Linked DNA regions of Rhinolophus ferrumequinum. The main gene of each other region encodes a partner of the protein of the gene in region 3 in a complex. Links are inferred from orthologs where the notes say so. Each region holds a gene or a part of one and is shown on either strand. Other genes may lie near its edges.

Region 1 (8,004 bases), on a different chromosome or scaffold from region 3:
TTTTCAAAATGTAGATTGATAGGCCCTAGGGTTTCCAGGCGGGAATTCCCGCCCATTGTCAGCCATTTTTTTCCCCCGCTTTCCTGTTCCCGAATCCCGAGATATAAACTGTTTTCTGTTCTCCACAGTGAATCGTTCCCACAAAGTGACGGCCGATACTACCAACCACCTAGGTTCAAGGAGCCGATTTTCCCAATTTCCTGACCAACTTTTCTCAGGATTCGGGAACGGAAAAGTGGGGTAATTTCCCGAGAACGGGTGGGAATTCCCATCTGGAAACCGTAGCGATAAATAGGAAAAATGTCTAAGATACATTGTGAGTAGTATGTTTATTTCCCATTTTGGGTATTACTGGGTTCAAGGAGCCGATTTTCCCGATTTCCCGACCAACTTTTCTCAGGATTCAGGTAATGGGAAAGCGAAAAAAATTCCTGAGAATGGGCGGGAATTCCCGCCTGGAAACTGTAATAGGTCCTTTCCTCCCCAGATCAACTTAATTCAAATTGAAGGAGATTTAAACAAGTGTTTGGCAGTCCCTCAAATGGGCACTCTTGGGATGCTAGTCAGGAGGGGATACACAGGATGCTGAAATGGACAGTCTGGGTCTCAGTGCCTCATTGGTACAAGGAGGAGCTCACCTAGGACTTTATCAGGTAGTTGGATATTCCTTGTCTTCTAGGAGCTGAAGATGGGACCAGAATCCAGGTAAGGACCCTCTCTCCTACCATCCCTTCCCTTATGGCTCTCATAGGGTTCCCATCAAAACCTGCCTATTATAACTCTCAGCTCAGAAGAAACTCACAAACACAAACCCTTATTTTACAAACAAGTGATTGAGAATAGCTTTCTTCGTTGGCCTTCGTGCTTTAGACTTCAACCAATTTTAATTCCCAAGTAAACAGTAAGCACTCAGTAAACAATGTTCAACCAATGGGGTACTCTTTGGGGGGGACGGGGGGAGCGACCTGGGATCACTCCCAAGAGTAGCCGCGGGAAGGAAGGCGGGTGAAGCCGTATTCCGCGGGAAGGCACGTGTGCTATTCGCTTCGGATCGGAAGGGGGCGCTGGTGTCCAGGAAATCACACGCGGATGGGCGGTGCGTTGGCAGAGCCCTGGACAGCGGCAGTGAGTTGTGATGAGTCAGTTTCCTGCAAAGTACTCCCCGCCCGCCAAAACTTCGCTTCCACTCTGGCTGCGCGTCACCCTCAGCTGAGGAGGGGGGAGTGGAGGGGGACCGGGGGCCGCAAACACGTCACGCTGACCCAGCCAGGCCTCCCGAAACCCCCGCCACTGTTGGGAAACCGCGCGCTGTCCCGCCATCTCTCTCTCTCTCTCTCTCTCTCTCTCTCTCTCTCTCTCGCTCGCTCGCTCTCTCTCTCTCTCGCTCTCTCTCGCTCTCGCCTGTCTCCTCTCACGCACGCACAGGCGGGCAGTGATCTGGTCCCTCCACCTTATCTCCACGCCCAAAGCACCGATGAGTCAGATCTTTGGAAAATAAAAATAGACGGGAGCAAAGAAAACAAAACCTCTCGAAAGTCCTCCCCGAAACGCGACGTGGAGGGAGAAAAAGAGGGAGGGACTCCCTAAAGTGCTTGGGCGTCCTAAAGTGCCAAACCCAGTTCCAAGATTTTTTTCTGCAAGAGGAGGGCGCTGTCCCCCCAAGGGCCCGGGGACAGGGCGGACGCCCTGTGGCCCGAGCTGGGCGGCGGCACTCGAAGCGCGACTCGCCCTCCTGCTCCGCTCAGCTCTGTCGCCCTCGGAGAGGGAATTCTGGACTAGGTCCGGGGCGCCCCAAGACGCTGGATGCAGCTGACACAGGCCGTGAGCAGCGTTGTGCCCCCGAAGCCCCCGAAGCCTCACCCCTCCAAGTTGCGACCCCACCCCGCCTACAACCCAGTCGCTCGGCACAACAGGGTTCGGCTCCCGACCGCAGTCCCGCAGCCCAACCCTAGCGCTGGCTGGGCCGGGGTCTCCCGGCGGTGGTGGGAGAGCTGCGAGGGAGTCCTGAGCTTCCTGAACTGAGTGGCAGGCTGGCGCAGCCCACCCAGCGCCGGGCCGCGGCTCCAAATCCCGGAGGACGCGTCGCGGGGCGGGGACCGGACGCCCGATCCTGAACCTCCCGGTGTCCCGGCTTCCTTGGGAACATTTTGTACCAGCCAAATAGGTCACTATGCTGATGGGGGTGGGACAGAGACCGCGGAAGGGCAGGGAAGGGGACTTCTGGGGCGCCACTGTCCCCCAGCCCGGGCGGGGTTCTGACCTCACCCGGCCCGTTCCCCGGGGTCTCCTTGTCACTGTGAGTCACCTCGCTGACCCTAAGGGATGTGTTTAGACTTGTTCCCAAGAGCTGGGGACACAGCCCACTCTGATCTCAGAGCCCAGCCGGTTGGCGGACGCGACGGCTCCGGGGACCCAGACCTCAGGGGTCTGGGCGGGGACGGTACAGATTGGATCCGAGAGCTGCCGGGGAGCGGATCCCAGATGAACCTGCTCGGATCCTCGTTCCTCCCCTGCCGGACACCTCCGCGTACAGGGGCTTCAATCCCAAGCCGCGAGCCATCCGCGCCGGGTCCACGCCTTTCCTCGTCCCAGCTGAGCTTTAACGCGAGGGGAGGGTGGTAGCGGATACCTCGTACTCTTGTACCTCTCCCCGCCCGAAGTCTCCGCCACATCCCGACTGCCGTGACACACGCACTTCCAGACACACCCATGGGAGCAAAACCGAGACCCACGCACAGACCCACGCACGTCATTCACCTGTGAACACAGCACACAGACACCTTCGCGGACACACACGCGCCTGCATGAACACAAACGCGGACACGCTCAGCTCAGCTCCCAACCGCCGGCCCGGGGTCTGCCCTTGACGACCACGGCTCCCTCACCTCGGAAAGTGTCTGTCTCGGGGAATCCGCGCCGGGCTCCGGAACTCCAAGCCACCGATTCCAGCAACTGCTCACACCTCAGCGGGTGCCGTCCGCCGCAGCCTTTATAAAGAATATTCAGAGGCGGGACTAGCGGGCTGCTCGGCCTTCTGCGTCTGGGACCGCCCTCCCCCGGGACACCGGCCCCTCCTCCACGCCTGGCTCAGATGCCAACCTTGCGTGCTGCTGGAGGGCGCTGCCTTTCTCCCTGCACTCCGCTCCCGGGTTAGTGCGCTTAACCATTTACCCCAAGAACTGAGCCACAAATGTGGATTTTTTTAGTTGGGAAGTGAGTTGGCAATCCCCAGGAGGCGATGGCACTGTTAGAATGAGCCCCGTTTCTGGCCCCCAGAAGATCACAAGGGATGACATGAATAGTAAATAAAAATCCATAAATAATAAAAATGATGTGCCTCACTTTGCAATTCCCAGAAAAGCCCCATTATACCACCACTATTCCCACAGATCCCTCATTAGACCACCTCTCCCCAAGCACCTGGGGCACCTAGACACCCCAACAAAACCTCTTGGACGCCTGAAACGGATTCGATTTCCTCCATTTCACAGATGAGGAAACTGAGGCTCACAGAACAACACCTATGCAAAGTTGTTGGTTAGCAACGCCTCAGGGAAGGAGGGAATTGGGCACACTTCTCAGAAAGGGCCAACCTGGTCTCCAGGGCAAAAGGGGAAAATCGGCATTGAATAAATCTCCTTGCACTCTCCTCCTCAGTCCCCATACCCACCTCTCTCGCCTCAACAGAAGGAACCTCTGTGATTGTAGCAGATTTGATGGCTAGGAAGGGGAGGAGGAGTTGGTGAATGAGTTCTCTTTTGGATACTCCCCACACAGCCCACATACACTTCTGGGGAAACTGAGGCTCAGAGTTTAGTGACCTGACTCAGATCACACAGCAAAGAAATGGCCATGGTGTTTTGCCTCCCAACCAGAGCTCTCAGCTTGTTGCCCTCTCTATTTCAGAAGTTCTCGAATGAGGGAAACACCCAGGATTTCTCATTTTTAGACAGCTTATTGAAGTGATATTGATGAAGAACAATTCTAGAAATGTTCCCCCTGGTGCTTCTGACAGATACAGAAGCAAGTGAGGTGCCCACATACTTCCACCCACCTCCACACCCTAGCCCCCCTGACACCCCACTTTTGCTCCCTTCCTTCACCTAATACATTTGCAGTTCCTGCTTTTTAAAAATTGCAGAGAACAGTGTTACTCTGAACAGAAATTCTACTAAAAAATAGAATCCACGCTTGGAACAACTTTAATTACTAACATCTAGGGCTGTTCAGTGTCTGGAAATCTCTGCCCGGGCATGCCTAGTCTTCTCCCTCTAACACAGCTGACCTCAGGAGGACAAGCCTCTGTCTCCTCCACTGACAGGATGGCAGCACGGGTGGGGTGGGAGGGCACAGCACCAGACCCCCTTGCCTGCCTGCTATTGGAGTCAGGCCAGGATTGTAGTCTGACCTCAGGACGGTCTCCAAAAGGCCAAGACCCCAGGACTTGCCCCCTCCTCCCCAGCTCCTTTCTCCACCCTCCCTTTACCCCCTAACACATGCATACCCACACCACCCAAAGGCTGGGCTGTCAAATGTCCAGCTGAAGACAGGCACATCCTCCTACTGCCTTGAATCCCCTCAGCTTTCAGGCACTTCAAATAGACTTGACATTGTCTGACTGTTTACTTTGGGGGGGAAAATTTAATGAAGGCTTGTGTTGAATTACTTAAAGTTTTGTGGTACTGAACTTCACAATGAAATAATTCTTTCTTTTGTTTTTGTTGGGAAGTGAAGGTTGTTTTTTTTTATTATAACTTTTAGCTCACCACCACAACAGAACTGAATAAATATTATAAAGCACCTAAGTGTTTCCAACCATACACTTGAATGTGTAGCCAAGCATGTCCTTATAGGAGGAATTCTGCCCTGAAGATGGCAAAGGAGCAGGTCGTTAGAAGTCACACAGGATATCTGCTGAGAGAGAGAGAGAGAGAGAGAGAGAGAGAGAGAGAGAGAGAGAGAGAGAGAGAGAGAGATCCCAGGCCAATGCCAAGGGATATGCTTCAAACCACATATTCTGTTCAGAGAAACTCAGACCAAGTTCTCCCTGTGGTCTGGGGGTCTCCTGTCTCCTACTACCCCCTTTTCCCTCCAAAGCAGGCAGCAACAAGGACAAAACAGCCATCAGCCTCTTCTATGCCAGACCTCAACATGTTGGGACTTGTTTCTGAGGGCCAGAGGGCCCTGTCAGAGCCACAGCTTGCTGCCTGAGCATGCTCCCCAGAAAGCTGGCGGCTTAGAGAAGGGTGGTAAGGCTCAGTCTGAGTGACAAGAGGGTCCAGGTCAGCCCCCACCCAGGAGGGAGGTGATGACAGAAAGAAAAGGTCGAAAGCCCAAGCCTGAAAAAGGAGGATGTGAAGAGGACTCAATGGTGGTTGCAGGAGCTGCCCAGGAAGGGAGAGGAAGTGCTGGGAACAAAGTCACCGTTTCTCAGAAAAGGCCCGGGGAGTCCCAAGTCAGCTTTCAGAGGAATTCACCTCCACACTGGCTCCCAAGAAGTGAGACCCCAGAGAAGAGGCAGAACAGACACATTACATTTTTACATTACTAAGCAGAAGAAGCCTTGCTTGCTTTTTTTTAAAGGAAGAATGAGATGAGATCAGGAGCCCCAACCCTGACCCACTGGGGACTTGACTCAGCCAATACAAAAATCAGGACTAACCATACAGTGAGAGAGAGAAATTTGTGTGAGAATTTGTGCTACAAAACACTTCCAGCGAGCCTCCCTAAGCTAGAAATTTCACCTTGCCTAAGCCTGAAATTTCACCATGAGAAATTCATTCCTTTGGCATGAACTCTGTTCTTCATTAAGTAAGACCATATAGGAAAAGTGTTTAGTATAGTGCCTGGCACATAGAAATCATTCTATGAATATTAGTTATTATTATTGCTATTCAAACACCTCCAAGGAAGGCATTCCTTAAAATTGAGTAATTACTTACACTTTAGTGGTATCTTTGGTAGGTTTCCCAGAAAACATACTCTGAAGTGGAGATTTGATTAAAGGATATTTCTTGAGAAGGGCATTCACAATCAACACCTGTGGAGGTATAAAGGAAACAGGATTGGGATGAGAGAGGAGTTGGGCTGTGATGGAGGCTGGAGGCCCTAGAGAGGCCTCAGCTGATCCAATAGGGAGCTCTGGAGCTAAGATGGTCCTGCAGTTTCCTGAATTGAAGTAAGGGGGCAGGGCCTTTATGTCCTGCTTTGACAAGTCATTTGGATATGACTGCCCCTGGAGTAGGGGGATGCATGACCCGGGGAAGGGGGGGCTCCCTTATGTGAGGCTAATTCCTAAAAAGGACTCAACTGTAAGCATTAGCAGCCGATATTTCCCATAGCCAGTGGGGAGAATGAGCGCCTGGGTCCTACAAGGGGTTCTAGGTGGCACAGCATGGTGTGGATGAGTTGCTCAGATCAGTTAGGGACTAGAAGGTGGTGAGGAAATCATTGAATACAGGCCACCTGAGGAGTGAAGGGCGTGCACATATTGTTCCCTCTTCCTGGAGTGAGTGTTCCCGACCAACCTATGCTATCTCCACTCCTTTCTCCACTGCTTGAACTCCTGTTGATCCTTCATGGTCCAACTTACATGACCTTTGTGGAGAGTCCTCCTCAGGGCTCCCTCTGACTCCTAGAGTTCCTGGGGAGCAATCCAGTCCACTGTGTTTTGCTGGCCTGCTTGCTTTGTGTGCCTGCTACATCCCCTGAGCTAGGATCCTGGAGGGGATGAGCTGATATTTTATTTATCTTTGCACCCTTGAGACCTAGCAGCCTCAGCTGGAGCTCAGTGAATATTTACGGAAGTGTCATTTTTAGCCTGCACTCTGAGATTGGGCTTTACAAATCACTGACACCTTCCTGTGAGTTTTTCTCCTATCCTAACCCCTTCCTCCCCTACCTCAAAGTAAATACTCTCTTGAATTTTATGAACTTTTCTTCATTTTCAATAATTTTAGCATATTAATGCTCACCCATTTTTCTATGTACTCTTCTACATTTCCCAGCACCCTCTTGCAGGTTAGGCAGGGTCATGTGACTAGATCTAGCCAAAGAAATGTTAGTATAAGTAACATTTGTCTCTTTAGGGCTGAGGTCAAGTGAAATTCTCCATTCTTTCTGTCCTCCATGGCTGTGGCAAAAGTGATGCCTCATATTCCAGATGGTGCCCACTCACCATGGTGGAGCCTCCATCAGCCTGGGTTCCTGAGTGACTGTGTGGAGCAGACCACCCCATCAACCTATGTGGAATAGGTATGTGAGAGAGAAGTGACCCTTTGTTGTGCAAAGTCACTGAAATGTGGAGGTTATTTGTTACTGCAGCATAACCTACCTAAGATTTATCCACGTGGCTATGATTTGGGAAGTCTGTGGCATCCAGTGAACTATACCTCTGGGTATTCACTATTCACACTCTTTTGTAGTTGCCTCCCTTGAACATGTCTGGCTTGTATCTCTCTCTCTCTCTCTCTCTCTCTCTCTCTCTCTCTCTCTCTCTCTCTCTCTCCATATATATATATATATATATATATATATATATATATAAATTTTATTGGGGAATATTGGGAAACAGTGTATTTCTCCAGGGCCCATCAGCTCCAAGTTGTTGTCCTTCAATCTAGTTGTGGAGGGCGCAGCTCAGCTCCAAGTCCAGTTGCCGTTTTCAATCTTAGTTGCAGGGGGCATAGCCCACCATCCCATGCGGGAATTGAACCAGCAACCTTGTTGTTAAGAGCTCGCGCTCTAACCAACTGAGCCATCCGCCTGTGCCTCTGGCAGCTCAGCGGCAGATTAATGTCTTCAACCTAGTTGTGGAGGGCGCAGCGCACTGGCCCATGTGGCAATTGAACTGGCAACCCTGTTGTTAAGAGCTCATGCTCTGACCAACTGAGCCATCTGGCCGCCCCTTGGCTTGTACCTCTAGTAGCCAACAGAATGGGACAGAAGTAACCTTGTGCCCATTCCAGGCCTAAGCCTTGAGAAAGTCTAGCCAACTACTGCTTT
Region 2 (7,599 bases), on a different chromosome or scaffold from region 3:
ACAAAAGGACAAATAATACTGCATGATTCTACTTACATGAGGCATCTAAAATAGTCAAACTCTTAGAAATAGAAAGTAGAATGGTGATTGCCAGGAGCTGCGGGAGGGTAAAAGGGGAGTTGTTGTTCAATATGTACAGTTTCAGTTTTGCAAGATGAAAAAGTTCCAGAAATCTGTTGCACGACAAAGTGCATATACTTAACACAACTGTAGTACCAGGGGTGACAATTAAGTTCGCGAACTTGTTGAGACAATGTTGCTAACCTTTTTTGATATCAGAGGGGTTATTTATTATGAATTTGTACCAACTGGACAAACAGTTAACCAAGTTTACTATTTGGACGTGCTGAAAAGGCTGCGTGAAAAAGTTAGACGACCTGAACTTTTCGCCAACAATTCACAGCTCTTGCATCATGACAATACACCAGCTCACACAGCGCTGTCTGTGAGGGAGTTTTTAGCCAGTAAACAAATAACTACTGGAACATCCTCCCTACTCACCTGATCTGGCCCCCAATGACATCTTTCTTTACCTGAAGAGGAAGGAAATAATGAAAGGAAGACATTCTGATGACATTCAGGACATCAAAGGTAATACGACAACAGCTCTGATGGCCATTCCAGAAAAGAGTTCCAAAATTGCTTTGAAGGGTGGACTAGGTGCTAGCATCTGTGCATAGCTTCCCAAGGGGAGTACGTCAAAGGTGACCGTAGTGATGATATTCAGCAATGAGGTACCTAGCACTTTTTCTAGGATGAGTTCGCAAACTTAATTATCTGACCTCGTATTCACTTAAAAACGGTTAAGACAGCAAATTTAGGAACTGAATGTTAGAGGCATACAATGAAATACCAGATAGCCATAAAAAATGATAACAGATATTTACTCAGTCATATCCACAGCCTATTGTTGAGTTTAAAAGGTTTACAAAAGAGCAAAGTAGTATGATACCATTGATACATGTCTGTACCTTTAAGAGAGAGACACTGTAAGGATATTCACTAAAATTTAATACTGTGTTTCCTCAAAAATAAGACCTAGCTGGACAATCAGCTCTAATGCGTTTTTTGGAGCAAAAATTAATGAGACCCGGTCTTATTTTACTATAAGACCCAGAATAATATAATATAATACTGGGTCTTATATTAATTTTTGCTCCAAAAGACGCATTAGAGCTGATTGTCCGGCTAGGTCTTAGTTTCAGGGAAATACGGTAGTGGTATCTCTGGGTAATAGGATGACAGATGACATTTATTTTCATTTTTTATATTTTCCTGTTTTCAAATACAAAGAATAGGTATTATATCTATGGCAAAGGATAGCTCAAAAAAGGAAGTGACTGCCACCTTTGGTTCCAGAATACTGGGATGAAATTTTACATTTCTCTTTCACTCTATGTCTGGCATATCTTGGGAGATTAATAAATAGTTGAAAAGCAGGAATGGAATGAGACATATTTGGATATGAATCTCAGCTCCAAAATTTACTGATCGAGGCCTTAAAGTCTTACTGAACTTCATTGAGCCCCACTTTCTTTAACCATAAAATATCAAGAAACAATACTTGCAGAACATTACAGAAAATATGTACTTAAAGCACTAACACATCATTTCTGGCTCAGACGAAACACTCAATAAAATGATGGCCATCATTACTATTTATTGATTTACACTAGAAGAAGCTCACAACAACAAAAAACTAAGTATCTACAGAAGACTATACCGCTAAATTATACAGAAAACTTCAATTGAATTAAAGAACAAGAGACAACTCTTTGTTTGGCGGACACACAACACTGTTGGCTGAAAGGTACGGTTACATTCCCATATGTAACCGGACTAGAATATAAAATGTATCATCTAGTTGGTGCAAAAACACCACTCATGAGTATTGGACAGACTTATCAGTGCTTCAGTAAAAAAAATAATGTTGATGAAAAGGGAAAATACACTCTTTCTAATTCACAGGTAGAATGGAAAGAGGTGATGGAATAAACACACAAAACATGACTAATGACTTAATTTAGAGACAGATTAAAAGAACGAGTAATGTTGCCATTAATTTTTGTTTGGCCTGTCTTCCTCATTGATATTGGACAAGGAGCCTGTCTTTTTAGCACTGCTGTATCCCCAAAGTCTGGTATAGTGCCCAATGTAGTGTGAGTGCTCAATAAACATTTACAAGATGATTTATAAAAGTCTCAGTGACACCATAGGAAAAACTGAAATAGAATTTATCTGAAAAAGTCTCAGTCAAATGATGGGAAAAAGTTTAAGAATGAAAGCCATTAGGCTTGAGGGAGAAAGACCTTTTCTGATAACTCCTCCTGCGTCTCCTTTATTCAATGAGTTTCCCAAGGCACCTCAAAGGGAACGTCCAACAGCAAAGATACACTCAACTTTGCATCCGACGGGGGCATGAACCCGGGCCTACTGGGCTAAACGTATTTGACTATGGGCTCCTAAGTATTTCAATGAGATCTTTATTCATCGGTGTATTATAGCTGGCACCTGTCGTCGACTGGGAAAGGCACCATTCTTGATTATTAAACCTGAGCCCTTCTGTAGCTTTTCTCTTAGGAACCAGCCTTTATAAGTCTGTAAAAGTGGGAGGAATTAGCTCAGAACTTGAGAGCCCGTTGTATACAGTCAGTGACGACATGAAGCCATGCTTCACGCACCGACAGGGGTAAAGGTATTAGAGGCACCCTCTACAAATACGTGGGTGCAATCTAATAGTGAGCAAGTCAAAACACAAGAAAAAAATTAGACTCTGGGATTGAAGACTTGGGGTGGAGAACGGCATTATGGACTTGGGAACCACCCCATCCCATTTCACTCTTTCCTAAAATGCAATTACATTCCGTTCAACTACCTATCTCTCACGCAAGAAAATACAGACTTGCCCCCCACGCCACTCCCAGACGGCCACACCTGGTGTATTCGCTGAAGAATCTCCAACTCCCGCCACAGGTTTGGCTGGTGTCCGCCCCAAAGCGGAAGTGACTTAAGAGACACACACCGAAAGTAAGAGTTCAAATACCAGGATTACAAAACCCTTACGTTCTGAGAAAACTCTTCTCTGATCACCTTCCTCTTCTATCCTTATCTCTTCTGTTAGGGTGGCGAAAAGAATTCACCACAGCCTCGTAACAACTAGTTCTCCACCCTGAACTCCAAATCATTCAAAAGTTTGTCCCTTTTCATTGGCCAGCGGGGCAGCATGGGTACCTCTGAGGAACTACAATTACCGTCAGGAACCGCAGGGAGTAAACGGAGGAAAGGATATGGACAGGGGCAAAGCACGCTGGGAAATGTAGTCCGCCCCCGTCCAAAGAGGGCAATCACCCCGCCTTCCACCCCACTGAGGCTGGAGAAACCAGGTGTTGGGCTTAGAACCCGTTACCGCTAAGGGGAGGAGCCACGTTTTTAAACAGCATTCCTGACTTCCCAGCACATGAAGGATGAAAATTTTCTTTTATTCCTACAAAGCATTACAAATATTCCTTGAAGAAATATGGTTGTCTTTCTAATATCTCCAATTCAGTAAAAACTCCCAGAACTCCCCTACCTTAGGCTCCAACTCGTGGGAAAAGGTGGCTCTTTTACAAGTGGGCAAAATGGCTGTCCTCTTAGTTTTCCCATTGGTTGCCCTTTGCGTCCTTCAAGGGCGGTTACTAACCACCGATTGGTTCTTTTTCCCTTGAGGGTGGAGGAAGACTTGGCATGGCTCTCCCGCGGCCCGAGAGGAGATAAAGGGGTGGAGAGAAGGCAGTATGTCCAGGTGTGATTGGATGATCCTCATGTCACTCCGAGAACGTACAGCCTATGATTTGTCGACTGCCCCTCAAAGAGAACGAAAAGGTGGGGCTAGTGCGTGGTGGGAAGGGGCGGGATTCTGCCAGCCCCGGCCGCCGCTGGAGCCGGTGTCCGGGCTGGTGATGGGGTTAATTCCCTTTCGTAAGACTCGTACTTGCACCCACCCAGCCCCGCCGTCGCCCCGCTGCGCCGCACTCCAGCCGCCTCCTCCTCCTCCTCAGTAACGCGGGTAAGAGATGCCCTCCCCTCCCCCTCTCCAGCTCCCCGGGAATAACGCGCCTCGCTCCCCTCCCCCGCCCTCCAACCGGTAGCGCTAACGGAGAAGGAGGCAGGCAGGGGAGAGATGTGGTGTGTGAGAAGGTGGCCTTCTCCTCCGAGCCGTCGGCGCTCCAGCCAGGGCCCCGCCGAGGTTCTCCTGCTACTGCCAGCCCGTGGGGAGGTCGGGTTCCGAGGGAGTCCGGCTCTCCTGGCCCGTCGCTGCGGCTGCAGCTGCATCCCCTACCTTGTGCCCACCGCCCCCACACGGGGGCCATGTGAAAAGCAAACCCCTGGAGGCCTAGCGGAGGAGGCAGGGGAAAGGTTCCCGAGTCCCTGCCATGGCTGCTGCTGCCCTTGCAGCCCCAGGGACTCGGGAACCAGCCACAGCAGGCCTGCCAGGGACGGGTGCGGTGCGTGGTTGTGCTCTCTAGGGTGGCTGGCGCCGCTGCCTCGAACTCCCCGGCCACCCCACGACCGTGGTCCCCGGCCTTGCACCGGGAGAATTTTTAGAAAGGAAATAAGGCGTTCCGTCGGTTGGTGAAATGTAGGTACATCTTGCCTGTGTACCAGAAAAACACAATGGGAAATTTTAAAAGAAAGTTGAATGACTGTCAGTGCCACGGACTCCGGGAATCAGATTTACACACTTTATGGTTGAGTCTTAGGCTGCCCTCCAAAGCCCTTGTGTATTTGAAGTTTCTTGTCGTTGTTCTCTTTTTTGTTGTTGCAAGGTGCAGAGGAGAGTGCATCTGTTGTTTGAGCTAGCTTTTTTTATGTAGAAACTTCCATTTTTGAGGGTAGCATGCCCCGCGTATAATTGTCCTGGGACAGCAAGTCAACTAAGTAAAAGGTGAAATGCTTTCTAAAACAGTAAGGCTTAGTAAATAGCAGATGATTATTCTAATAAGATTTTCCAGGAAAAAAAAATGTGTATATGTATCTCCCAGATTACAGTTTGCCTGATTATAATTCTGAAGAAAGCCTTTGTTTTTAGCTTAAATGTCATTGATTACAAGAACTTTCAAGTAATGAAAAGATGATAAAAGTCAACTGAAAGCCCACCTTTTTATATTTGAAACAGTAAGGTCTATCTATGTAATATTTAATATGGTAGGATACCAGTATGACTAGAGTAACTGGACACACCTTAACAAAATTTGGCCATATTTAAAAGCAAATGCTTATTCCTCACATACTGAGCCCTCATTTTTTCACTCCTTGCTGTTTTGGCGAGGTGACTATGTCCTTAAATAATAGATTCTGTAATTTATAGTAGACATGCCTGTAATCAGATAAAATTCTAGGCCCACTTCTGAGGCTTGTTACCAGAATCAGAACTTGTGTTCTGAAGAAGTCATTGGGTTTTGCCGAATGTTAGACCCTTTCTTCAGGGTCTGATGAGACTATACTGGCTTAATGATCTTCCATATTCCATAAATAACACACCTAGATACAGAATTGGCATAGATCCATCGATTCAGGACCTGGAAGAAACTTGGTGTGTTGTAATTCTTAAAATGGAATGCATAACCCTGAAAGGTAAGGCCCCTCAGCTCCCCACAGAGTATCCATAGCATATATCACTCAGCATAGCATTTTCTAAAACTTGTTGGTTAATTGATAAATTATATAATTGATGCTGTCAGATCTCATGTGCTTTATATACAGAAAGCGCTGCTAGAAATATAGGAGGTTCCTACGTTCTCTTGTTAGCTGTAGGACCCCACTATGAGTTTCAGTTCAGTTTCCTCATCTGTAAAATGGGGATGATAACGCTTAACTCATGGAGTTGTGAAGCTTAGAGATGAAGTATGTAAAGCCCCTAGCATTGTGCCTAACACAGTATGTATGATTAAATATTAACTATGCATGTTAAGATTATATATATTATGATTAAATATTTCATGCATATTAAGAGAGTAAGTTTTTTATTCACATGCACAGGTGTTGCAACCTCAGCACATGTTCCATTAGTGAGGAGTACTGTGGGGGTTTTTATTTACTTGTATATAGTGACAAAGTAAGTGCAGTTTGCAGCTAGCCATTTTTAGAGTGAAAGTTATATGGGAAATTGGTAACTGGGTATATACAAGTTGCTTATTTTATAGAAGACTTTTTTTGTTTTTGGCATTAAAATGCAAGTGTTTGTGGAATATATTTCAAATGGATTACTTGGAATAAAAGTGGCAAATTATTGTAGTGATAAGTTATTGTAATATCTTTTAAATTTAATATGTTTCAAGATCTAGTTTATATAATTACTACCCATGTTCATTGTGCTACCAGGCTACCAGCAAGCAACAGCTGAATTCCTTTAATACAGCGTTAAGATTAAGAAAGTAATTTGAATTCGTTATGGCCATAGGCTGACTACAGTTTTGTTGGTTTTTAATTTTCATTATTTATCAATACTTGTGTGTTTCTTTTCTGTGAGTCAACATGCCAGACACATTGTTCTTTTCTCCTCCTAGGCACTTGTGAAAGTGTACTGTGTCTTCACACGTAATAGTGTCCTTGGAGTGTGTGCAGTTAGGCCAATTTAAAGTTAGCATGAAAACAGTTCTATTATGAAGTCTTCTGACAGTAATGCCTGGCCAGGGTTCAAGGCAGCTGCACCTTATGCTAAATAGTGAGCTGAGGTACATAATGTTATGGCAGACTTCCCAACTTACTAAACCCAGTACAATTGGATGCTCCTTCAAGGAGCCTTACATGGCAGCAGCAGTAGAAAATGTTATAAAATTGAAATAAGCTTTTTCAAATACTATGCAGAACATACGCATTGCCATGCCTTCTTGCCAAGTAATAAAAGCGATTTTCTTGTCGTGGTACTTTAAAATATCTAATTATACCCATTTGAGTTCATGTTAAATTTTATTTCCTCAAGCTGAGGGTTGATAACACCTATTTTTTCCATTCTTGAAAACGTTACAGTAATAAACACTTTTTTAAAATATTTTTTATTTTTCAATTGACAGTTGACATTCAATATTATATTACTTTCAGGTGTACAGCATAGTGGTTAGACATTTATATAATTTACAAAGTGATCCCCCTGGTACAACTAGTCCCACCTGCCACCATACGTAGTTATTACAATATTATTGGCTATATTCTTTGTGCTGTCCCTGTGACTATTTTATAACTATCACTTATCACTTTGTACTTCTTAACCCCTTCACCTTTTTCACCCAGCCCCCCCCCCCCCCACATCCCGCCCATCTGGCAGGGATCAGTTTGTTCTCTGTATCTATGACTCTGTTTCTGTTTTGTTCATTTATTTTGTTCTTTAGTGAACATGTAAGTGAAATCATACGGTATTTCTCTTTCTCTTCTGACTTATTTCACTTAGCATAATATCCCCTAGATCTATCCATGTTGTCACAAATGGTAAGATTTCATTCTTTTTTATAGTTGAATAATATTCCATTGTATATAGGTACCACATATTCTTTATCCAGTCATCTATTCGATGGGCACTTAGGTTGCCAATATCTTGGCTATTGTAAATAATACTACGAA
Region 3 (7,404 bases):
CTAAAGGTTAGCCACCTAGCTTGGGTTTGATACACAAACTTATTGTTCTGTGGTTTATAAAGGAAGCACTGAATTTGCATTCCCTTCTCACAAATTGGAAAGTAGATGGCACTTATAAATCACTTGCAGATTTCAACAGTACCTTTCACTTCTCACAAATTTCTTGGAAATGCCATTTTGTCTATTATTCTTTAGAGTTTTCTTTAATTTTAGCAATTACCTTGCTATAGACTGCATGTTTGTGTTGTCGTGTCTCTCCCACCATTCCTGTTAAAACCAAATCCCCAATGTGATCGCATTTGGAGGTGGGGCCTTTGGGAGGTGCTTAGGGTCATGAGAATAGAGCCTTCATGAATAGGATTAGTGCCCTTATAAAAGAGACTCCAAAGAGCTCCCTTGCCTCTTCTACCAGGTGACAAGGCTGCTGTCTATGGACTAAGAAGTAGGTCCTCACTAGACACTGAATCTGCCAGCTTCCCAGCCTCCAGAGCTAGGAAATAAATTCCCATTGCTTATAAGCCACTCGTCTATGGCATTTTGTTATAGCAGCCCAAACAGACTAAGACAACCTAATATTAAGCAGTTTTACAATTCTCTTCAAAGTATTTTCTGTCTACTTAAGAATTACTTACAGCTTCCTCTTCTTTATCGACATTACTTGTTTGTGACAACTTAATATTTCCATTTCCAAGTTCCCCACTTGCAGAAAATTTCACTCCGTCCTTTGCACAGGAAATTACAATAGCATCTCCAATGTGACTGAGATCTCGGCATATACGTGCAAATTCACCAGAAGGCATCTTTACTACACAGCTATATTCTTGTTCCTAGAAAACAAACAAACAAGCAAAAACACTTAAAGGTCAATTTCTGGAAATGAAAGAATTGGCAACCTCACTTTCTGAAGAATCAGCACCTAATCAAGAACTCAGAATTTAAGATTTTTTGATTACGTTGAAATGTCACTCATTGTGTGATTTCTTAACACTCCAACTACTCAAAGCCCCTCCGAATCACCCTCCAGGACTAAATCAAGAGGGCATAGGAATGATGACGGTGCAAGAAGGCACATCTGCTTTCCAAAACAAGAGAATATGGTACTAGGGATTATAAACATTCCAACACTTCTCTCCTTTAATGTTTCGAAACCTAACCTTAATAAATGTCTGCCACCATAGTTTAAAATCTACTCTTAAACAAAAGTCAAGCATTCTAGGAATAAAAAGATGCATGGAGGTTAATAAAAATACAAATATGCATTTGGCAACAATGAATTCAACCAATGATCTATTTTAGAGTACTGTAGTTTAATAAAAGACAAATGTGTCAGTCTAAATACTAAAACCCCACTCTACACCATGCATCAGCAGATATATAATTGTTAGGAAGTAGGCTTTAAATTAATTATATTAATATATCTTATGTAACTCATGTACAGTGTACTCAATCAGAAACATACTCACTGGAATCCCAAGTTGTTCAACATCTAAATCCATTAACTTCATTTCATAGTCTGAAACCTTTTCTTGATCTACCAAAAGAAAGCCAATGTTAAAGAAAAGCATGGAAGTTTATAACTATGATGTCAATTTTACAAGCTCACAAACATTATCTTAAACTTCTCCCAGCTTTGAGAAATACTGACAATGCATTTTAATTTTCTTCAGCCTAACTCAGTAGGAAAATATGACCTACTTGGAGCTTCAAAAACTAATGCCAACGTGTCCGCATTATCTTCAGCCCTTAGTGTAATGATGTCTTCGTTGCCGGCACACTTTAGTATTTTGGACATGCTAGAACAGAGAAGACACAGGGTTTAAAATCGACACCATCTTTTCAAGATCGTTAGATTTCTAAGCAATTAAAACAAGGAGTTACCATTTTGACCCATTAGGCTGTCTGATGAATTGGCAAGTTAGGTAAACGTACTACAGGAGGATGTGTAAACCGGTCCAGCCATTTTGGAGTGCAATCTTCCAGTATTTATAAAATACAAAGCTACCACCAGCAATTTCACTTCCGGATAGAAACAAAAGAACAGTATTTTCTGAATTCAAATCCGTTTAGTGAGTGAATAAATCATTGGGCCTCGACGATCATTAAAAACTACCTAAAATTGAAAGCCACTGTCCTGGAGAGATTTTCCAAGTCCAAGAGGGTGCTCACTACTACTTTTCTTTATAAAAGACTGGAAATAACCTATTGTCCCTAAGTAAGGGGATACAACTAGGGGGCGTTATAAAGCGGCTAAAGTCAACCATAATCGGTTTCTCATCCAAGGCCGCCGGCACCTAATGACCAAAGAGCTCTGGAACAGTGTTTTCCTGGCTTGGCAGCGAAACCCGTCATTTTCCCGCCACCACCCGCTTTGTGACTTTGGCGCGGAAAAAGCCGGTTCGCGCCGCTGTCAGCGCGGGCTTTTGGAACCGCGCGTTCCGTGGGTCCCGCCTCCCGGTATAGCAGGCCAATGAGAAGGCGCCGATGGCCCACTCCAGCTAAAGAGGGCCCGGCTCAGAGGCGCTCCCGCCAAGAGCCAGAATTGGGGGTGAGGGGAAGAGTGCACCGCTCCCCACTGCCCCCAAGCTTACCTAGTGAGGTTCACACCCATGGCCAGGTTGCGGTCGCAGCGGTACGTGTCGAAGCCCTCAGAGCGCAGGGTGAGCTGCACTAAGGAGACATGGGATGAGTCCATGCTCTGCAAGTTCACGCCGCTGGAGCTGATGTCCCAGCAAGCCTCGTTGATGAGGTCCTTAAGCGCCTCCAGCACCTTCTTCAGGATGGAGCCCTGGACCAGGCGCGCCTCGAACATGGTGGCGGAGTCGCAACGACGCGGCTACAGGCTAAGGGAAAGAGGAAGTGTAGCGGGTTTAGGCTTCACGGGATGAGAGCGAGAAGGCGAACACAGCAGTAAGAGCCGGCGACCGAGGAAGTTCACGGCAAGCTCGCTGCGCCAGCAACCGTTTAATACCACCGCGTCTGCTAGCGCGCGCTCTCCGTCCCTGCGCCCCGTGGAGACGTCACCACGTTGACCCGCCCACTGCCTGGGCGTAGAGACTCTACGGCCAATCGTGTGCCTGCTCTGCGCGAAGCCCGCCCCCAAACATCCATTGGAAAATGTAGGGACGGGGCGGGGCGCGAACGCTGCACCTCCTGGGCTGGGCAAGAGGGAGTCGGGGCCGGACTCCCCGCCTTTTTGCCAGGCTCTAGCAACTGAACGCTGGACATGCCCGGGCATCAGTGAGGTCCAGGCTGGGAGTCGTCGAGTCCCAGCTTTTTGGTACTTCCTTAACCTCCCGCTTTGAGGATAGAAAGTTTCCAGTCGTGGAAGTGAAACACAAGTGCAACCTATGCTGGGGACGGGGGTGGAAAAACCGCCTGTAGCCTGGAGAACTGCTGCTTTAAATGTGCACATTTTGGCTGTTATAGAAGTGACGCGCTCCTAAAAGTCAAACGATGAAGGGTTGTATAGTTACAAAAAAATTATCTCAGCTTCCCACCACCAGCTATTAAGACCCACCCCCACACACGCAAGGCTCACATCACTCAATAGTTTCCTCTATACAGCTTTCTAGCTTTTTCTGTACAAATACACATTTTTTTTAAAAAAAAAGCAGGTTCATACCGTTAACACTTCTGCAATATAAAGTACCTGTATATATAATTTCGTGCCACATAAATGTCTTCTATATAAGTACCTTTTAAAACGGCATAATATAGGCATACCTCGGACATATTGCAGGTTTGGTTCCAGACCACCGCAATAAAGCGAGTAATAGCAGTAGAGAATCATGGTATTTTTCCTGGTGGCGGGTTTTGCCTTTAATTTGTAACACTTGTGAAGCACAATAAAGCCACAAGCAATAAAACGAGGTATGCCTGTATTTTATGTTTGTAACCTAATTTGCCAATTTCTTGTGTGTGTTTACAAACACCTTTGGGCACTTAGGTGATTTTATGAGATCAACACCTTGAAGTATTATTTGCATACACATTAAGTATTTGATTAATGTTACTAAATTGACCTCTAAAGGATTGCAATTTATATTCTAGCCAAGACTATGAGTATGCTCATTTCCCTCAATTTTCCTAACGATAGATATTACCAATCTTGACTTTAATCTGTGCTCGTTTATGTGAAAATTTCACTTTGCATATTGAGTATTACAGATTGAACATCTTTCATATATTTCTTGACCATTTCATTGTTTGTATATTTTTATTAAAATATTTTCTTATTGATTAAAATAAGCACTTTATATGTTACAGTAATCATTTCCCTATTACATGTATTCTCTCCCTGCTTTGTTATTTCTCTTTCACTTTGATTACAGCATTTCCCTTTAGTTGCATTTGATATCTTATTATGGTTTATAGAATTCTTTAGTTTTTCTACCACGTATCTGGTTGTGGATTTAGTTTTATTTATTGTGTTCAGGGAATTTTGTGTTCTTTAATCAGAAGATCATGTATTTCATCAAGTCTAGAATATTCTCAACCATTATGGCTTCAAATATTGCCTTTCCCTGGCATTTCTTTTAGATTTATCTATGTCATTGAATTTAAGATACCGTCAATTGTAAGAGACAACATTACTTTATGTAACACAAGAAAGAAAATATTGTCAGACTATCACAGTGTTTATCATTTAGAATTTCTATTTTGTAATTATTGAAATAACTTTTAGATTTTTAAAAATATTTGTATCACATATTACTCTTGTACGTACGTTAAAAATATATATATAAACAAAATTAACTGGCTAAGGCATTCCTAATATTTCTCCACACTAAGTTTCCCACTTAGTTGCTGGTACTGTTGTTTTTCCATATAATATTATACTCTATTGTATAGGGTGATGATGAGTGCTACTTTATTGTCTCTGTAATTTCTTCCAAGTGTCTGTCACCCATTTGTAAATTTTTTTATTAAAAATGTTGTATTCAATTTATTTAAATTAAAAAAATAAAAAACAAAACAGTACACCCTGACTTCAGGAATGTATTTGGTCTGAGTTTAGTTAGCCTGGCAGGGCTGAATGTAATGGATGAGAAGTTTGTTGAGGCTAAATTGTAGTGGGTTATCTACCCTAGTAAACATACTGTGCATTCTGAAACTGATCTACATGCACTGGTTTTCCAACCTCTTTTATATTAGGCTGGATTTGAAAGGAACAGCTGAGCGTTTGGAAGGACTGATGTGATGCTTCCTCAGATGTGAACTTTCACAATTATGTACCCTTCAGGTGAGGATCTGAATACTAACACCTCCACCTGTCTCAGAGGATGACCTTGTGGCTTTCTCTGTGTTGAAGTCCTTCTAGGTCCTTTAGGTCATAAACTTTGCTTAATTTACCCAAGATGTGTCTGGTCTTTAGATCAAGAAGTGATCACTGACAGTCAAAATGGTTATCACAACAGTCCTTAACAGATTAAAAGAGTTTTTAAATTACCATCAGCATGTTACTTTTAAAAATAACATTAAAACAAAACACAAAAGCAAAGTTTTCTTTAAATAAATTATGGCCTGAAGGGAGTGGTCTGCTTCTCAAAACAAAACAAAAATACAAATATTTGTGCAATGTTAACAGGAAACAAAGCATACCGAGTTGTGTTCCTCCACATCTATTTTACTGTCACTTTGAAGCACTATTACTGTAACTTGGGAATACATTCTTATAGAAATCAAGAATTCTCACTAGTTTCCCAAAAACCCACAGTTCAGGTCAAAATTGATTATACGAAACTGCAACTCATTATGTGTGGAAGTTTTTCTCCTTGTTAAATTACAATATGCTTAAAGGAAGGGACCTCATTTCATACATGTTTTACATCACTTACAAGGCAGAGAATAAGAACAGCTGATGGCAATGCTTGAGAAACATAGGTTAGTGTGGGCTTTGGTAAGAAACAGATCAGTGTTCCGATTCTTAGTGGGAATTTTCTAGCTGTGAGACCGCGGTTAAATCATTTTCCTTTACGAGAAGATTTAAATCCATTCAACAAGTACTTAGGATGTGTCCGATACATAGGGGAATCTGGCTGTGAACAAAGCAAGCAGCATTCCTGTCCAAAAAACAAGGTCTTTCAACAGTCCAGAAGGAAAACAAATGTGAAAAACCGCGGAAGATCTTATCTATAAAATGAAAATCATACCCACTGCCAAACGTTGTGCAGACTGAATGGCATAAATTAAAGCGATTACTTGGTTCAGTACCTAACACATAATTTACGCTCAGTAAGTAGTAGAGGCAACTTGGCAAAGCAACGCAGACTTAAGTTTGGGTTTCACATCCCTTATCACGTGACGACACACTTGGGCTCCTCAGGCCTTTCCACTCAGGGCCTAACTAGCGCCTACTTACATGCGTGAGGGAAGAGGCCTGGCTACCCACGACACAAAGCACAGACCAGGAAGCCAACCACTAACCAAGCTAGAGCCTCCGAGTGAGGCAACCCGTTAATTCTAGGATCTAGGTACCAGCGCCGGCCATCCGCGGTCAGGCCGGAGCTCCTATTGGCTAGTATCCCTCGGAAGCGCACGCCTTTTCCCGCCCCATCACGTTTCTGTCCAATGCAGGCCTATCCACTCCGCTCCGCCCTGCCCCCACTGCCCCGCCTCCCTGGCGGATTCGCGCCATTGGTGGATCTCCGGGGCCGTGATGGTGGCGGTGCGCGTGCGCGTTCGCTCTGGGGGCCATCCGGAGAGAAGGAGCTAGCGGGCTGGGGCTGGAGAGGCCAATTGTGCTCCGCCCTAGTGAAAGGGCGGCGACGGTGCTGGGTCCAGCCGAGCTCCAGGGCTGGCCGTGGGCTGCAGTGGGGCCCGTGAGCCGCTGCGGAGCTGTGAGCTGCTCAGGCGGGGCGGGGCCGGCCGAGTAGAGTCCGCGCGCGCCCGCGCTGAGCTGCCCGCTCCGGCGGCTGCGCTGCTCGGCCGCGGGGACGTCGCGCCAGAGTCTCCAGCATGAACGAGCTGAGGCTTAGGGCGGTCCGCGAACCGGACGCACCGCCAGAGTACAAGGTAGCGGCGGCATCGGGGTGGACGTGGTCAGGGCAGCGGCGACCCCCGGAGAGTCGCGGGGGGCACGCGCAGAGGGGTCGTCTGGCTCTTTGACCCTTTGTCGCGGCCGATGGCGGCACCGGGCCTGGACAACTTGGAGGGTCCTCGGGTGCAGGGCTCCCGCGGAGCGCGCGTCAGGGGTCAGCAAGAGGGGACCCCGGGGACACGGCTCTGGGGTCCGGGTGGAGGTGGTATCTCCGCGGCGCAGAAAGGAGCGCGCAGGGGGTTACGCACGCTGCCTGCCTCGCAGTGCTAGTTGGGGGTCCCCCTCCTGTCCCTCACCTCCCGAGGCCTTCCTGGGTGTGAAGACGTCGAGACCTGAAAGCCTTCTCTGGCCGGTGACTCCTCTGA
Region 4 (7,648 bases), on a different chromosome or scaffold from region 3:
TTATTTGACTGGCCTGCCTGTACTGATTACACTGGAGTAAGAAAACTAGTAGGCTGCTGAATCTGGTCCTCAGAATGACGTTAGCTGGTAGACATGTCTTTAAAGACTTTGAATTCATTGCCAAGTTTTAAAAATGAGGTTGCACATAAAACTCAAGATTTCTGGCTTTTTTGAAAACTTAAAGATCTGAAATGTCACTGAAGGTAGGAGAGTCTTGACCAAAGAAACGCTCTAGTATTGCAGGTCTGTGTTAAAGGCTAGTTTGAGTTTGATATAATTTCTGATAATAGCCACATACCCTGTTTATGACTTTCTCCAGCAATTTCTGGCTGCCTTTGGGCACACATGACTAGAACAGAACCTTGGATGAGAATTTCAAGTACTGGTAAGAAAGTAAATGAAGTTAATAAATTGAGAAACCATGAAATGTAAACTGGATACAGAAGTAAAGACAGGAAGGAACTGCTAAGTAGGGGAAAGTAGAGAGATAAATATACCGGGGTGTGAATGAAGATAAAGAATGATCAAAATAGCATTAATCAAAATGATAATGACGATGCATATTAAGTCCTTATAGTGTGCCTGACACTCTACTTTACATGTATTAAAGCCTCACTTTATAATCACAAAAGTTAGGAAGTATTATCCCTATTTTAAAAATGAAGATACAGGCAAAGAGCAGTTAAGCAACTTGCCTAAGAAACAACAGCTAACAAATGGCAGAGATGGGGTTCAAATCCTGGGAATCTGGCTCTGGAACCTACGGCCCCTACCATTATGCTATGGCCCTTACCATTATGCTAAAATGTTCACCTATCAAGCAACTAGGACAGAGGTTAAGATTAAGGAATGGGGTATCTGAATTCGTGATTTCAGAGTGGTGTAATTCTGAGGGATCACAAATTCCAGGAAACTGAATAACATAAATTATGGTAAACTTGGGGTTTGTGATGCACCTTAATCAAGTTTCCAAAGTAGCACACATTTCCAGGTATATATCAGTCAGGGTTCTTAGCTGTAAGCAACAGAACCTAACTCGGGCTGATTTGGCAGAAAATGAATTTATTAAAAGACTAGTAAACAGTTTCAAGGGTAAATTTCTAATAACACCAAATACCACACTGCCAAACTGACTAGATGGGGGAAAACTGTTGTTGCCAGGGAACACCAGATGCTACAAGGAGCTCTGCTGTCATCTAGGAACGTAGCCATTGCTGCCGGTACCGTATACTAGAGACACTACAGCCACCACTGCTGCCAGCCCAGGGAACAGCGAGTGTACTCATCAAACCGGCTTTCTTGCATCTCTGAACTTAAATCGCAGAGCCTGGAGGAGGCCTGTCTGATTGGCAGGGCATAAGTTCACATCCAGCGCTCTAGCAAGGGAAACTAGTGAGTTTTTGCTTCCATTTTGGTGAGACAGGGCTCATGACGCGGACCATTCCTCAAGCACAGGAAGAGTGCTCACAAGATGCTAAAATGCTACCATCCACGTGACCAATATCCACTTACAAACACTGGTAATTCACACCACCAAACAAGCACATTTTAGAGGACTCTGTTATATACATTGCTTTACCTAAGTGGTGAAAATTATTCAAAGTGGAATCGTAACACCTATACATCAAGTCTATTCACTACTAAAAGCGAGGAGGAGGGGGCGGATACAAACACAAGCATGCGCCACACATTATAAAGTAACCTAACAACTTATAGCTCAATAAATTGTTAATGGCAAAGCCTCAATAAATTACATTAAAAAGCAGGAATAGAAACAACTGAAATGATAGTCAACTCAACTGATGATGCATTAATAATAAACCATCCTTACCCCAAATTTCAGAAGTTGTCTGTAAATACCATGTATGATGGCATGTATGCCAGTGTGCAGCATGTACATAGAATATGATTTGTAATCATAAACAAATTAATTTTATTTTATGAATACCAACTTTTAGGAATACTGAATAACTCACTTTGTAAGTTATAAGACAGTAGCTTTTAGCCATACATGAAAACGAGTCCACGGATTTCAGTAAGAACTGGAGAAAGGCCTTGGGTTTTGGGGTCAGTCCATGGCCTATCAAGGGATCACCAACCAGGTCCTTCCTAATGCTGGTTTTTCTGTGGCACTGAGTTGTTAAGAGTCTGACCTAAGGCTCAATCCTACATGATCTTATAGGTCCACTTCTCAACACTGTCAGACTAAATTTGGTCTGAGAAAGAATTTGATTGGCTCACTGTGGGTCATATGTCCACTTCTGAATCAATCAGTTAAGGCATGGAATTGGTCACGTGGTGTAAACTTGGCTGCAAAGGTCTCTCTCTCTAGTAGGGGAACTTGTAGCCTTCTGACACTATGACATTTGGCTCACAAAATAGAAATACTTTAACAAGTAAGGATGAGATGGCTCAATATTTGAAACACTAAACTATCTTCTAATGCACTGGCTATTTCTGTTATCTAATTTCTTAACAACTTTAAAAGGTACAGCATAATGAGTGAAAAAGAACAAGTTTTGTTCTTGTCTTGTTCAAATTATCTTTCTGAGCCTGAGACTCATCTTGTGAAATACCCAGGGCACTGCTGGGAGGACTGAACACAGTCACTTACTTAGTATCTAGGACTGACACCTGTTTACAGTTAAACACTCAATAGCCATCCATTTATTTATTTAAGGAAAATTTGTGCTATTTTTTTTTTTACAATTGCAAATTTTTAGTAATTAAACTAATACAGATTACTCATTTCTTCAGAGTCCCATCCTGATCTCTGTTCCATAACCATTGTCCTACTGGCCTTAGGGGACAAGCCCACCTGGACCAGAGTGGTAGAAAAATGTCTGTAGAATTGGTAGGAATATTAGCTATCAGGACATGAAACTGTCACTGGGGAATAAGCAAGGAATGATCAGAATGGGGAGGAAAAGATTATGTAGTGTTTAAAAAACACATTTAATGTTTTAATTTTATATTTCAGAGGATAAAAGCCCTATAGCTTTGGTAAAAGAAAGTTCACATCATCTTCTTGGTTGATGGAGATGTACTAAACATTTTGTGACTCAACCAAAGGAATAACACATTGGAGTGTTGACATTTTTATGTTGATCAAACGATCTTAAAAGGCTTTTATAAAAGTCTGTGAAAATCTTACCTAGACCAACCCACTAGAAATGTTTACAGGTTAAAAAAGAAACAAAACAAAACAAAAATTCCCCCCAAAGTTAAGAGTGTCCAAGCCAAGAAGCTGGGAAATGGCTCAAAGTGGATTTAAATTAGACAGATTCTTCTAACCTGTAGTCCAGTTCTCAATACATTATAGAACGGCTACGATTAATCAAGATTTAACTGTATCCCAGATAACAAAATGTTTTCTCCATTCAATAAAAATCGTTGAAGTACACTGAAACAAAGGATTCATTTTAATAGTTGAGTTCTTTACTGACAAATATCTGCCCTTGCCTGCCATATCCATATCTAAGAAGGCATATCTCTTTAGCATTTAAGAAAGGCTTCTTTTGCATATCACTGTATCACTTACTATTTACAACAGTCTTGCCAGCTCAATGGTATTGTACCCACTTTGCAGACAAAAATACCGAGGTTGGGTGAAGTCAGGTGACTTGTACATGATTATGAAATTAGTGAAACTGAAATTCAACTCATTCTAATTTCAAAGTTCCTTCAGCTATACCAAGCTGCCTCTCACCCCTCCACACCCTTACCCGCCCCGCTTAAGGAAACAACTGGTGGAATTCATCTGCAGGAAAATTAGCAGAGGTTACGCTTTACGGATGGTCTTGGCTATTTAACCTGCCTGGTAAGACGCACGTAACAGAGTTACAGAAATCAAATAAATCGCTGTAAAGTCGGTGCAAAGTCGGTTTCAACTGAACGTTCCGAAGAATAATTGCACAATTTCAATCTAGCATTCCTCAAAACTGCTTGGAAAATCGGGGGACTGTGCCCCCCAGTGGTCAAAACAGGCCTATCAGTGGAGCTCGCTACTTCTTCAGCTGTTGCAAACCCAACTCCAGCAATGCTGCAATTTTCCTGCCAATTTCCCAAAGCGATAAAAACCCTGGACTCACCAAAAGCACAGGCGCCCGCCCACGCCCCCGCCCCCGCCCAGGGAAGCTTTGCGCATACGCCTTCCCGGCCTCTCCCGATGCTACCACCACCTGGTGGCGCCGCTTCCACCCCTCCATCTCACCCGCTCAGCCCGCTCTTTCGAATACCTTTGTCTAATTCCATAAGGGCAGAGTTAGCATCCAGCTCCTGTTCGCCATAGCCGGCATCTGCCAGGAAAGACTTAGTTGAGTTTGACGCCATGACCCGAACAGTTACTCGGTTAGCTTATTCAAAAAGATTGTAAACTCTGGCCCAGCACCGCCATCTTCTCCCACCACCTTCTCGCGGATTTTTCCTCCGCGCTCTGGCAAGCCGTGTTACGCATGCGCCCTAGTCACCCCGCGGTTCGCTAGCGCCTCAGCGGCCCCCCGCGCAGGCGCTCAGAGAGCTCTTGAACTCTAGGTTCCCGCGGCTAGGAGAAAAGAAGGCGGGGATTTGGAGGGGGAAGTGACTCGGCGGCGTCCGGACGCCGCTGCGGGAGCCAATCAGAGGGCGTGACGTCAGTTTGGCGGGGAGTTTGGTGGCCGGGGCTTACAGTGGCGGGAGTTGGAGGCTATAACTAGTCCTCTTCTGAGAGACGCGAGCTGCGACTTCTGTTGAACCTGGGGGCGATTTCAAGGCTTTTCCCTCAGTTGAGCCTTTTCCTCTGGTCCAGATGCTCTTCAATTCGGTGCTCCGCCAGCCCCAGTTTGGCGTCCCGAGAAATGGTGAGTAACGGCCCTAACTGCTGCTTGTTGCTGGCGGGATTCGCCTCCCCCGAAACAGCGCCTCGGACCGAGGCCGACTCCAGTTCTGTTTTCCAGCCCTCAAGTGAATTCGTGTTAGCAAAGACTACTGAAGGAAGCTGCACTTTCATGCCCTCCGTACACTTATAATCGTAGTTTGGACTTTTAAAATGTAATGTAGGCCGACGGAGGGAGGGAAGTTCACTTAAGTGGCCTTCCTTAACGGCTCATGTCTATATTACACTTTAACTGGAAAAAGCGTGCATGCGTGTGTGTGTGTACCCCTCAACAGCAATGTGAGATCGAGGAAACTCGTATTCGTGGATTAATTCGTTTGTTGTAGAACCTTATTGCGCCCTATTTGTTTTAAGTACACGAGTGTATCTGACCCGCTGTTCAGGAACTCAGTGAAGCAGAGAAGACAGAACTGCTTGTAGCATGGTCAAATTTTTTTCCTCCCTGATTACTACATACGCATAGAAATTCGAAATTATAGAGTGAAAAATACCTATAAACATATCCCCAGAGATGACCAGTGGTAAATCGATTGAAGTACATTTTTCCAAATGTTTTTCAATGCCAGAAGCAGTATGTATTGTTATTTATTTAAAAAAATGGTATCAAAATGTTTTGTTTTGTTTTTCTCTTTAACCGTGTAACTTGGGAATATTTTCATGTTAGTGTGTAGAAATCCAACTTATTCTCTACAGTTCTTGAGGTTCCTTTGGTTAAAACATTGGCAGTAAGAGTTTTGAGCTTAGGTTTGGGTATCATCAATCTAAGACTTCCTGGTAAGTTTCTGATGGGGAGTTACTACCCGGACTCATCTTGGATAGAAATTAAATTTCATTCTTTTAAAGATGACTAAGTCTACTTTCTCCTTGAAACCATGTGGAAAACCAAAAGAAAAGAATCTGGGAAAGAGACGTTTTATACTTAGGCACAGGTCTAGGAAAAGGATATTGAGACAGTAGTCTCTCAACTTCCTGCCCCAATCTAAAACTTTATACCATCCTTACCTACTTCCCTCTTAAATAATCTTTTTAAATTGTACTCTAAATACCCCTTTTTCTATCTCCCCTGGGACCTTGCTTGAATTAACTTCTCTATCCTCTGTGTCATGAGTGGCAATACAGCACAGTGTGTAAGAGCTCTGTCTTTGGAGGAAAAATTCCAGCTCCACTCTGTACTATCTGCGTGACCTGGGACAATCTATTGAGTCTTAATTTTTAAACACATTTTCTACTAACTCACCAATCTATCTGTCTACTTCTTCCCTTTCATTCATGAGTTCTCATCCATTGTTTAGTGTTAGGCTCTGAACTTCATTTATTCTTGTATATTATACACTGATCTTGATGAGACCATCTCCTTTTCCCTTCCATGTAGTTGTTCCATCCTAGGCCCCTAATCTCCTTCCACCTACTCCAATGGATCATCATAGCCTTAACCAGGGCTTCTTCCACTACTACGTGCAACCTTCCTTTCCCTAGACTTTACATCCATTCCTATGTTGTATGAGTTGTATGATTATCTTCACCCAAATGATCAGTCCCACAAGCATCTCGAACTCAAATACCAAAACCGAATGCAACTTTTCCCCAAACCTGCCATATTCATTAAACTAGTCTTCCCAGCCAGAAACCTGACGGTCAATCAAATTTCCTTCATTTTCCTCAAGATACACACCGAGTAAGTTTCCTTAAAATCTTTTGAATCTGCCCTTTCTATCCCCACTGATTTTGCCTCTTCACCATATCTAGGATCTATTCTATGTTTACCATTCCATTTCCTTGGGTTGAGCCCTAATGCCCTCTAGTCTGGACTATAACAAGTCTCCCAAATGGCCTCTTAGTTTCCCTCTCTCCAGTTTATATTCTCCACATCACTGCCAGTGATCTCTCTAAAATTGAAATCTGATTACTCTAACGTGTATTTTTTAATTGGTATCTGAAAGTTTTTATCATAAATTTAGACCAATATAAAGGATTTCATTTCTGGCCATAATGTGAATATTGACATTTTAAAATAAAAATACTACATTACTCTTTTAAAATATATCTAATAGAATGTAAATACTATAGTGATTTGATAACCACACCAATCATTTTTTAAAAGTCTGAACAAACTTTTAACTGTTAGATATTCTAAATAGTTGCTGTTTTTCCTTTGAATTTATTTCCACTTTATTTTTCCCAATAGAATGTATCCTAATGTAATTTGTTTTTAAGCTTGGAAAGTTATTCTATTGATCACCCTGTCATACTCCGTGTAAAAAAAATACATTTAAATTGATATTGTCTGTGATCATAAGGCTCTAAGTCTTAAAAGTTCTTCTGGATTGAATTATTGCAATTATTAGCATGCAATTAGTCAAAATAATATAGATTACTAATTTTGACAAATAATTATTAAGCAAAAAGTAAAATTTTAACAGAAGTATATCTTTTTCAAGTGATGGATTTGGGTGTTCACGATGCCTTTATTAAATATTAAAGGACGTATCCAATTGTCTCTCATTTGGGGTCCCAGAAGTTTTTATACCTTGGGTCAATGCAAGGTGCAAAATTGGGGCGTTGAAATGCCTTTCTTTTGAAAGTGGAAGAAAGGTAGTGATGAAGGGAGAGGAGAAAAAGAGAGCCTCACCTTTCAGGTGATCAGTTTTAGAAATGCATATACCTGGAGTTTGAGTATCAGGAAATTGATTCTCTGGAAACTCTTCTGTCCTCAGATACTCCTTGAAAAATCTGCGCGTAATCTTAAATCGTACATTGAGTGAATAATAGGCTTTC

The links.
Region 1: the proteins of PCNA (region 3) and CDKN1A are in contact, whole or in part, in a crystal structure (PDB 1AXC), measured with the Homo sapiens proteins. The link is inferred for Rhinolophus ferrumequinum from reciprocal best matches to the Homo sapiens genes PCNA and CDKN1A. Residues at the interface, in NP_002583.1 of Homo sapiens: Cys27, Asp29, Met40, Ser43, His44, Val45, Ser46, Leu47, Ala67, Met68, Gly69, Ala96, Asp97, Leu118, Met119, Asp120, Leu121, Asp122, Val123, Glu124, Gln125, Leu126, Gly127, Ile128, Pro129, Gln131, Tyr133, Ala208, Asp232, Val233; in NP_000380.1 of Homo sapiens: Arg143, Gln144, Thr145, Ser146, Met147, Thr148, Phe150, Tyr151, His152, Ser153, Lys154, Arg155, Arg156, Leu157, Ile158, Phe159, Ser160.
Region 2: the proteins of PCNA (region 3) and ZRANB3 are in contact, whole or in part, in a crystal structure (PDB 5YD8), measured with the Homo sapiens proteins. The link is inferred for Rhinolophus ferrumequinum from reciprocal best matches to the Homo sapiens genes PCNA and ZRANB3. Residues at the interface, in NP_002583.1 of Homo sapiens: Met40, His44, Val45, Ser46, Leu47, Gln125, Leu126, Gly127, Ile128, Pro129, Asp232, Val233, Pro234, Tyr250, Leu251, Ala252, Pro253; in NP_115519.2 of Homo sapiens: Asp1071, Ile1072, Thr1073, Phe1075, Leu1076, Val1077.
Region 4: the proteins of PCNA (region 3) and DTL are in contact, whole or in part, in a crystal structure (PDB 6QC0), measured with the Homo sapiens proteins. The link is inferred for Rhinolophus ferrumequinum from reciprocal best matches to the Homo sapiens genes PCNA and DTL. Residues at the interface, in NP_002583.1 of Homo sapiens: Met40, Ser43, His44, Val45, Ser46, Leu47, Glu124, Gln125, Leu126, Gly127, Ile128, Pro129, Ala208, Tyr211, Asp232, Val233, Pro234, Tyr250, Leu251, Ala252, Pro253, Lys254, Ile255, Glu256; in NP_057532.4 of Homo sapiens: Ser705, Met706, Arg707, Lys708, Ile709, Cys710, Tyr712, Phe713, His714, Arg715.

What each region holds. Positions count from the first base shown.
Region 1 is NC_046286.1:6,521,812-6,529,815, reverse strand, and holds the start of CDKN1A (cyclin-dependent kinase inhibitor 1), read right to left. Parts: upstream 3,001-8,004; 5' UTR 2,886-3,000; intron 1-2,885. UniProt on the Homo sapiens protein: Plays an important role in controlling cell cycle progression and DNA damage-induced G2 arrest. Involved in p53/TP53 mediated inhibition of cellular proliferation in response to DNA damage.
Region 2 is NC_046291.1:82,811,262-82,818,860, reverse strand, and holds the start of ZRANB3 (DNA annealing helicase and endonuclease ZRANB3), read right to left. Parts: upstream 3,009-7,599; 5' UTR 2,935-3,008; intron 87-2,934; exon of another isoform or gene 39-86; coding exon of another isoform or gene 37-38; intron 1-36. UniProt on the Homo sapiens protein: DNA annealing helicase and endonuclease required to maintain genome stability at stalled or collapsed replication forks by facilitating fork restart and limiting inappropriate recombination that could occur during template switching events.
Region 3 is NC_046306.1:26,664,567-26,671,970, forward strand, and holds the start of PCNA (proliferating cell nuclear antigen), read right to left. Parts: upstream 3,010-7,404; 5' UTR 2,810-3,009; coding exon 2,589-2,809; intron 1,794-2,588; coding exon 1,696-1,793; intron 1,532-1,695; coding exon 1,464-1,531; intron 828-1,463; coding exon 633-827; intron 1-632. Other genes in the region: CDS2 (phosphatidate cytidylyltransferase 2), read left to right, coding at 6,958-7,014. UniProt on the Homo sapiens protein: Auxiliary protein of DNA polymerase delta and epsilon, is involved in the control of eukaryotic DNA replication by increasing the polymerase's processibility during elongation of the leading strand.
Region 4 is NC_046305.1:20,167,444-20,175,091, reverse strand, and holds the start of DTL (denticleless protein homolog), read left to right. Parts: upstream 1-4,643; 5' UTR 4,644-4,786; coding exon 4,787-4,838; intron 4,839-7,648. Other genes in the region: INTS7 (integrator complex subunit 7), read right to left, coding at 4,239-4,332. UniProt on the Homo sapiens protein: Substrate-specific adapter of a DCX (DDB1-CUL4-X-box) E3 ubiquitin-protein ligase complex required for cell cycle control, DNA damage response and translesion DNA synthesis.